Linked DNA regions of Oryzias latipes. The protein of the gene in region 1 purifies or fractionates together with the protein of each later gene. This does not show direct contact. Links are inferred from orthologs where the notes say so. Each region holds a gene or a part of one and is shown on either strand. Other genes may lie near its edges.

Region 1 (3,912 bases):
GGTACAGAATCAAACATGGGCGGGGCTTTTGACACCTGCAGAAAGCGTAGAGAAAGTGTAAGGGGCCATTCGATTGGCTAAAAGCGAACCCGCCTGCTTTGCCGATGAGTTTGATTGACAGATTCACTAGCCAATGGTGAGATTAGTCGACCCGCTCCGTCAGATGAGTCTCAATATTCACCGTAGAAAAATCTCTCACACACACGGGGAGATTCACAAACGAGAACGGGATTTTGAATGCACAGTCTGCAGTTCGAATGATCTGTGAGTTCACATCACATGTGTACCTAAAAATCACGTTTGTGAAGCACCTACTGTGCATTTCTGATACATTTATTGTGAATTTCTAAAATGTTTTTGTGAAAAACAGTGTGCACATTTGTGAGAAACACTTATTGTGCATTTGTAAAACATTTAGTGTGCATTTGTGAAACACAATGTGTGTGTTTGTGAAACACAGGGTGTGTATTTCCGAATTTATTTTTCACGTTTGCATAAAATGACATTTGTGAATCGGAGCGTGTGTATTTGTAAAACCGGTTGTGTGCATTTCTGATTATTGAGACTGAAATAACTCCATATGTAACAAATATGTGAATGAAGAAGCATGCTTAGACAATTAATATCTTCCAACAAAATGCAACAGTCAGTGTAAAATGAAGACTTAAATCAAGACATACACAAAAAAAAAAACATTGCAAAAGGGATAATCTGGGGCCCTTTAAACTGAAGTTGAATTGCACTAGTAGCTCTAAAACAAACTGTTTCCCCCATAAACTGCAGGTGCTTAAATCTTGCACGCATGTGTGCGCTTGTGTGAAGTTTCTGGTTTCGTTTCTGGCAGAAAAAGAGTTGAAAGAAAAAGCTTTGATGAGGAGGGGAGGGGGGATAGGAAGTGAAAATGAAATACAACTCAAAGATCGTCTATTGCCACGAAGAGAGTGTCGGGGCGGGTGTCATTTTTAAACATTTTTGTCTTTTTTATTTTATTTTAAGTCTTGATAGAATCTTAGATAAATTGTTATTATTTGAAAAAAAGAATTGATGTAATAATTGAACATTACTATAGTTGAATTTTGTAACCCGGAGCTTTTTTATTTTAATAAATAAATATATATATTTTTAAGAGTACTTAAAATGCAGCTTAACCCCCCAAGCCCACCGCCCTGATGTTCACCTTTCACTGTTATAGCGATGAGATTGATGTTGACGACTGCAGGAAAAATGATCAGAGTGAGATGTCTCAGCGTCATCTTTCTCAGGAGGAGCGCTCACCAGAGCGATGACGCCGCCCGGGACCGATCCAAAACGAGAGCAGGCGAGCTGAAGGGGGATTTCCATCTCGAACCTTCACTTCCCGAGGCGGCAGTTGTTTTGCTTTCGGTCTGGGTGCAGAAAAAAAAGAAAAAGAAAAACGTCGGCCACCTAATCCCCCCCCCTGCTTCACTCCTGGAACGACTTTTCTCCAACTTCGGCGGGGTCCTTTCCCCCCCTGTATTTCGTCCGCGGCGGTGTGAATCGGCTGGCCGTCCGAAGCCAAAAGGTAACATTTTATTTCCGCATATTAACGGCGCTGCCTTCACGGCGCACACCGACTCCCCACCGGACGACATGACAGAGCCGTAGCTGTGTAAGTGAAAGTAGTCTCCTGTAGTTTTCTGACGGTTTGTTGTTAGTTTTGGATTTATTTTCGCTTTTGGGTCAGCACGTTGGTGGTAGACGCGGCTGGTAAATATTGACCTCACCGCTAAACCAAACTTGTAAAAATATGTTTATAACTTTCTTTCCCGGAAGAGTTTTGTTGGCGTGGGTTTTCTTTAGCTAAACGTTGTTTTGCTAATTAGCTAAAAAAAAAAAAAGATATGCTAGGTGGAATACTTTAAAACTTTTTAAAGTATTTTGTTCTAAATTGAGCTGATTTTTACGATCTGATTTGTTGAAAACCTTTTTATTAAATTTAAACACTAAAAGTTCCAATTTATATTTCTTAAAACCTAAGCTAGCTATGTACTACATCCATATGTAAACTGGACTAAATTACCTAAAAAAAATAAAGAAAATGACGACTTTTTCGTGTTTATAACAATTTAACTAACACAAACACATTATTAAACAATGTCAACATGATTTATATTGAGTTTTTTTCTTTTAAAACAATGTAAATTGTTCCTAAAGTGACGTTAGGTATCGAGCACTGGGGGGGTCATACGGTGCATTCGAAGGCGGATGCATTGCAGGTGGAAGTTTGAGGCCTTTTTGGTCTTGAGACTGACAGAGAAGAGCCGAACCGTGGTGGCGTCACCCTGTTTGACCTGTTCGGGAGCTCATTGTTGCAACGAGGCAGCGTGTTGGCAGCACACTAACTAACGTGCAGCAGGGCAGGGAGGGAGTGTCAGGCCCACCGGACTTTGATCAGATCAGACTGCAGGGATCACAACCCCTCTCTCTTTTATGTTAAATCTAGCGTGGTGAGTTTGACTCTGCAGGCTTCATTATACTTTAACTTCTGCCTGATTTAACAGAAAATCCTCTCGTTGCTTGTTTTTTTTTTTAACCATACAAAGATGGATTTCAAGGCAAATATTTGATGGCATTTGTTTTTTTTTCAACCTGCAATTGAATAGCAATAGCCTTATCTTTATTACACATGGTTTACAGATTTAACTCCTTTTGTTTTGTCCACAAATGATTGTTCCTGTGAAAAGTGACTTGAAGTGGTTGGTTCCTCTTGGGTTAAAAGCAGACCTCACTAGTATTTGTTCACTTTAAATATGTTTAAAGTAATGTTATCAGGCACTATTTTTAGAGTTTGCGTCCATACAAAAAACCCGACTTGTTTTATGGGAAGATTAGAGTTTAAAACGATGTTATTGAAAACCAAAAGCCTTACAGTGAAGTTTCATGTTTCAGCTTTTCATTTTTTTAAAACCTTCTTGTACAGTTTCTAACCGGGAGCCCACACGTGTTAGATAAGCTCACGCATTTCGTTCACATGTCAAAGGAAGTTAGTTGCCAAATCGTAGTAATTTTTTTCTGCGTTTGCGCATCTTTAAAAAAACAAACAAAAAAATCCCCAAAAGGTAAGTCAAGTCGGTCCAGGTTTGCTGCAGCCCACATTTGCTTGTTTGTAATGTGTAAATAAAAGATGTGAATCTTTAAAGCCTCTTAGTGCTTTAGAGCTTCTCGGGAAGGGGTTTGCATTTCAATCAGGAATCTACATCCTGTTACTGTTAAAAATGGTTTCAAGGCTCTGTCTTTCAAGCCGAGCATTTGTATCGCTGTCTTGCAGCTGAGTGTTCTTGTCTTTTCTCTAGCACATCTTAAAAGTACCAGCTGATGTTTAACTGTTGTTGCAGCTGCATGTGGAGCAGCGGACAGCGTTTTTGAGGGCCACTTTTAGAGAACAGAGGCATTGTCATTGGCAAATTTGTCCTTTCCAGACCCACTCCCGTGGAAAAAGGTGTTTTTAGTGTTTCAACACGTTCTTGTTGCCTTTTTCTGATGGTTAAGGACATATATGAAGAAAATTATGCTCAAACTTGCATTTCTGTGCATTTCTTTATTCAAATCGTTGTGAAACAGGAGCAGATGAAAAAATGGTGTTTGAAGGCCACAAGCTCCATTCCAATGCATCTACTTGTAGATGACTAGATCCATGTTGTTTTCCTTGGCTGAGCTGGAATCTGGATCAAAACTGTACGGATGGATAGCTCCAACATTGCTCGCCGTCTTTGTTGCACCGGTAAAAATGGGTTGGGGGTGTGCAGGGCTGTAAGATAGAAGGAGAGCATGTAAACAGATAACTCTCAGGGACGTGGAGGGGAAAGGGGGCAGGGTTGCGGCACGCCAACAATCCCTTCCACAACTCAGAGGTGAATTTCTAATGATCCACTGCCACTGTGCAGAAACTAT
Region 2 (3,912 bases), on another chromosome or scaffold:
CACAAAGAGGAAGAGTCCTCCTCTTCATCAGGGGTCTCTCTCCTTCTTCACCTTCACGTCTCCCGCCAGGATCGTGGCTATCTCTCCCTGCATGAAGGCCCAGGGCACGTTGGAGCCCAGGAGGGGGCACTTCTCCCCGCTGGGGCAGTACACCTCACCGGAGGCGCCCTGGGCCTTGATGCTCTCTCTGGAGCAGGGGAAGCAGAACTTGTGGACGGGGACCGAGGGACACTGGACGAAGTGCGTGTCCTCCAAGCGTTCGTGGCAGATGGTGCAGCACAGGGGCCCGCTGTTGGCCACCGGGGAGTCCGGCACGTTGGGAGGGTGCGCCTGGTCCGAGCCCCCCGCGGACTGCAGGTCTCCGTTTCGTGAAGGGAGGCGCCGCTGGCCGCTCAGGGAGGCGGGGGACACCGGGCTGCTGTTCTGTCTGGAGGAGGTGGAGTGAACGGAGTCCCTGTCCTTATTGGGAGAGTACGGGTTCCCCAGCGCGTCCGCCGCCATCGGGGACGGCCCGTTCCGCGGAGGCGCCTCTGGAGGCGTGCTGCGGCCGGAGCAGAGCCCCGGGGCGAGCGCGGGGGGAGTCCCGCCGAAGGAGCCCGCGGGAGCCCACTGCTGCCTCTGCTGCTCCTCCGCGAGCTTCACGCCGCCGTCCGCCGAGTCCGGCTCCGGGGAGGCCTTCCTCTTCCTGCCGCCCGGCCTGCCGCCGCCGGAGCCCAGCGCCCGGCCCGGGAGCAGCAGGGAGGTGGGCAGCAGCGGGAAGCTGGTGTCGGTGTGCGCCTGCGGCAGCATGTCCTCCCCAACCGCCTCCTTAAAGAACCGCAGGGACTCCGGTAACAGGTCCCCGAGCAGGCGCCAGTCCCCGGATCCGTGCTTCTTCTCGTACTCCAGGTACTTGAACCCGGAGGAGAGGCCCCGACCGAAGTCCTTCATGCAGTCCTGGTACATCTGCTTGGCCACTCCGGAGGCGCTGGAGAAGACGGCCCCGGAGCCGCTCGGGTACTCGATGAAGATCTTCAGCTCGAACTCCGCGCCAGTTTTGGACGCGGCGTCGAAGGCGAAGACCCTCCCGACCAGGCCGTGGTCCTTCTTGAAGCGGACGTCGAACGGCGTGGAGGCGGACAGCGCCAGCAGCGTCTCCCGCACCGCCTTGGGTCGGCTCGCCCACTCCTCCTGCCGGTTCCGGAGGCTCTCGCTCAGCTCCACCAGGGCCTCGGCGCTCCGCTGCTTCTCCTTCGCCTCCCGCTCCTGGTCCGTGCTGGAGACCGAGGCAGGCCGCCGCCCCCCCGGCTCTGGCAGCCCAGTTTGCACGGACATGGAGGCGGCGACCATGGAGTTCTGCGGGGCCACTCTTCCGACCAGGCCGTGCGGGACTGGCGGTCCACCGAGCAGCGTCTGCGGCAGCAGGTTCGGGGGAACGTTGGTCTGCGCCGCCGCTGACACCGGGCCCCCGCTGCTCCTCGTGCGGGCGTTCGGGCTCTGCCGGTTTAGGTCCGGAGGACCCTCGTCCGCTTTGTACCCGTTCGGTCCAACATATCCGTTGGCCTGCCTGGTTCCGCAGCTGTAGTCAAAGCGAGAGCGGGTCTCCGCTCCCCCCGAGTACCGGTCCAGACCCGGCTGCAGGGACTTCCCCGCTCCGTCCGTCTCCTTGGCGGGCAGCACAGCCGCCTGAGCCTTCGCCGCGCCGGGGAGCGCCGAGGACGGACGGCCGTCCTGGAAGCCCTGCGCCCGCTTCAGGTGGCGGGTGGTCTCGATGACGAACTCGATCCGGTCCGCTCCCTCGTAGTTGACGCATCCGCGACACACGGGCTCGGTGAAGTCCCAGATCATGGCCCAGGGCATGCGGGGCAGGTCGCACAGGTAGCATGACTGCCTGCGGGACGAGGAGAGCTGTGGGGAGGACATACTCCCGCACGGCCTCTCCGCTGAGCTGCTCCTGCGCAGAGAGGAGGACTGGCGGTCTGCCGCGGCTCCTCTCAGGTTATTGTTCCTCCTCCTGCTGCAGAGGTGGTGGGGGAGGGGGTCCCCCCCCCCCCCCCCCCCACATCCACCAGCCAAGATGAGGAATTTGGTTGCAGCACCCCCACAGATGCACCTGGCAAAGATCCCTTTGCTGGCCTTCCTCCTCATCAGCTCTTCATCCTCTGAATTGTTGCATGTCTGAACGAAACAAATGGGTGGGTGTGTGGGTGGGGTTGGGGGGTAAACCCTGCTGTTTTTGACAGATCAGTGAGCAGCGTCTGAAACAGATGAGCAGTGCTGGTGAAGGTCACGGCCGACACAAAGCTGGACGGATGCTGGCGTGTCAGACAGTGGCTGGTTGAGCTGCAGCTCAGGCGTGTCGGAACGTCGTCGGAGCAGAACCTCTGGAGTCAGACATCGAGCTCCGTTTGTGCAAACTGGATTTTTGTTAGGGGCAAAAAGGCGGAAACTTTGCAGAAGCACGTTGGTTTAAATTGCTGCAGGCAGGGGTGATTTATGCTTTAACTCCCGCCGGGGATCATCGTCCTCAGATATTTCTGAGAGGCGAGAACCGTCCACAACATGGAGCTGATGCATGCTGGTCTTTGCATCGTCTCAGAGCTAAAAGCTTCCACATTTGCATCTTTATTTATTCCATCCTTTTGTGAACAAATGCTTAAAAAAAAAAAAAAAAAAAAAACAAGCAGAAGGGATGCTGTGATGTCTCCCTGTTGTCATGGAAACGCAGGTGAAGGACATCAAGGCACGTTTGAGCTGCAGCCGCCAATGTCACGACAGGAAGAGACGTCGGTCGGCTGCAGCTGGTGCACACGCCGACCGGCAGCGAAGCTCAAGACAAACCTTGACGGGTCTTCGTTTTTAGAACAGATCTACAAAGAACCCTGAAGGTTTCCCGCTGAAATCACATCCTATTTTTTTTCCTCCTAAACAACCACCTCAGCAGCTTTAGTGGATCATCCTCTGACATTAGGGAGGGTTGTGGTTGGATTCTACGGTTAAGTCAAAGGTCAGCATCTGCTGCAGGTTTAACCAGCTGATTGGCCGCCGACGGTCCTTCATGGATGGAGGCGGCACTGTAGCAGCAGAGCTGCGTGAATCCGTCCTCCTCGCCTCCTACAACAACAACAACCGTGTGTGTGGCAGAACCTCCCCAAACCCGTCTTCCTTCACCTGGATAGCTGATGCCTGCAGTCACGGTGGCGCGTTTCCATAGTAACGGGGGCAGTTCCAGCGGCTGCGGTGATGACAGGGAGACGTCCGTGCTGCCGGCTGCAGACGGCATCCACTGAGGAGGAGGAGGAGATGAGAAGACGATATCAATCAGGAATACGCCGAAGATCTTCATCAGAAGGTTTCCCCTTTGAGAAGAAGTCTTCTGGACGTCAGAGATTTGTGGCTTTTATTCTGTGATATGCACACGTGCACTCAACATAAAAGCTATTTTTAGCTCAGATCTGCAAACATAGTGGTTCCCATGGAAACCTTAACACTTCCCATACAGGAGATCAGCTTGGCAATGCTGCCCCCTGCTGGCTGCTCATAACCGCTGGCCTACCTTCACATCTTTTAATGTCACTGTACCTGAGACAATAACAAATAAAGATCTATTCTATTCTATCATAAGCATTTTAGGTGTTTACCTAAGAAAATGTAGACAAACATCTGTTCTTTACTCAATAAGGAAGCGCCCCCTGCTGGCTGAGTTTAGCCTCTCAGTTGTCACGCATGACAAAACGTCAGGTGTGTTTTACCTTCTGTAACCTGGAGACTCTGTGGGCGGGCTGAAGGTGTGACATCGGAGGTCACGGGGGCGTGGCCTGTCACTATCTTGAGTGCTGACTCCAGCAGTTGGCCCTGATTGGAGGACAACGGGGAAAAGCTGATGAGCGGCAGCGAGATGGCGGCGAGACGGAGATTCAGACCTCCGACAGG

The links.
Region 2: the proteins of irf2 (region 1) and interferon regulatory factor 2-binding protein-like B purify together in Homo sapiens (affinity purification with mass spectrometry; 3 studies listed by BioGRID and IntAct, counting the BioPlex papers as one, with this or other methods). This does not show direct contact. The link is inferred for Oryzias latipes from reciprocal best matches to the Homo sapiens genes IRF2 and IRF2BPL.

Annotation. Positions count from the first base shown.
Region 1 is NC_019868.2:24,521,823-24,525,734, reverse strand, and holds the start of irf2 (interferon regulatory factor 2), read left to right. Parts: upstream 1-1,270; 5' UTR 1,271-1,630; intron 1,631-1,645; exon of another isoform or gene 1,646-2,468; intron 2,469-3,912. UniProt on the Homo sapiens protein: Specifically binds to the upstream regulatory region of type I IFN and IFN-inducible MHC class I genes (the interferon consensus sequence (ICS)) and represses those genes. Also acts as an activator for several genes including H4 and IL7.
Region 2 is NC_019880.2:2,455,521-2,459,432, forward strand, and holds the start of interferon regulatory factor 2-binding protein-like B, read right to left. Parts: upstream 2,412-3,912; 5' UTR 2,128-2,411; coding exon 28-2,127; 3' UTR 1-27. Other genes in the region: kiaa0586 (protein TALPID3), read right to left, coding at 3,151-3,265, 3,732-3,834. UniProt on the Homo sapiens protein: Probable E3 ubiquitin protein ligase involved in the proteasome-mediated ubiquitin-dependent degradation of target proteins. Through the degradation of CTNNB1, functions downstream of FOXF2 to negatively regulate the Wnt signaling pathway.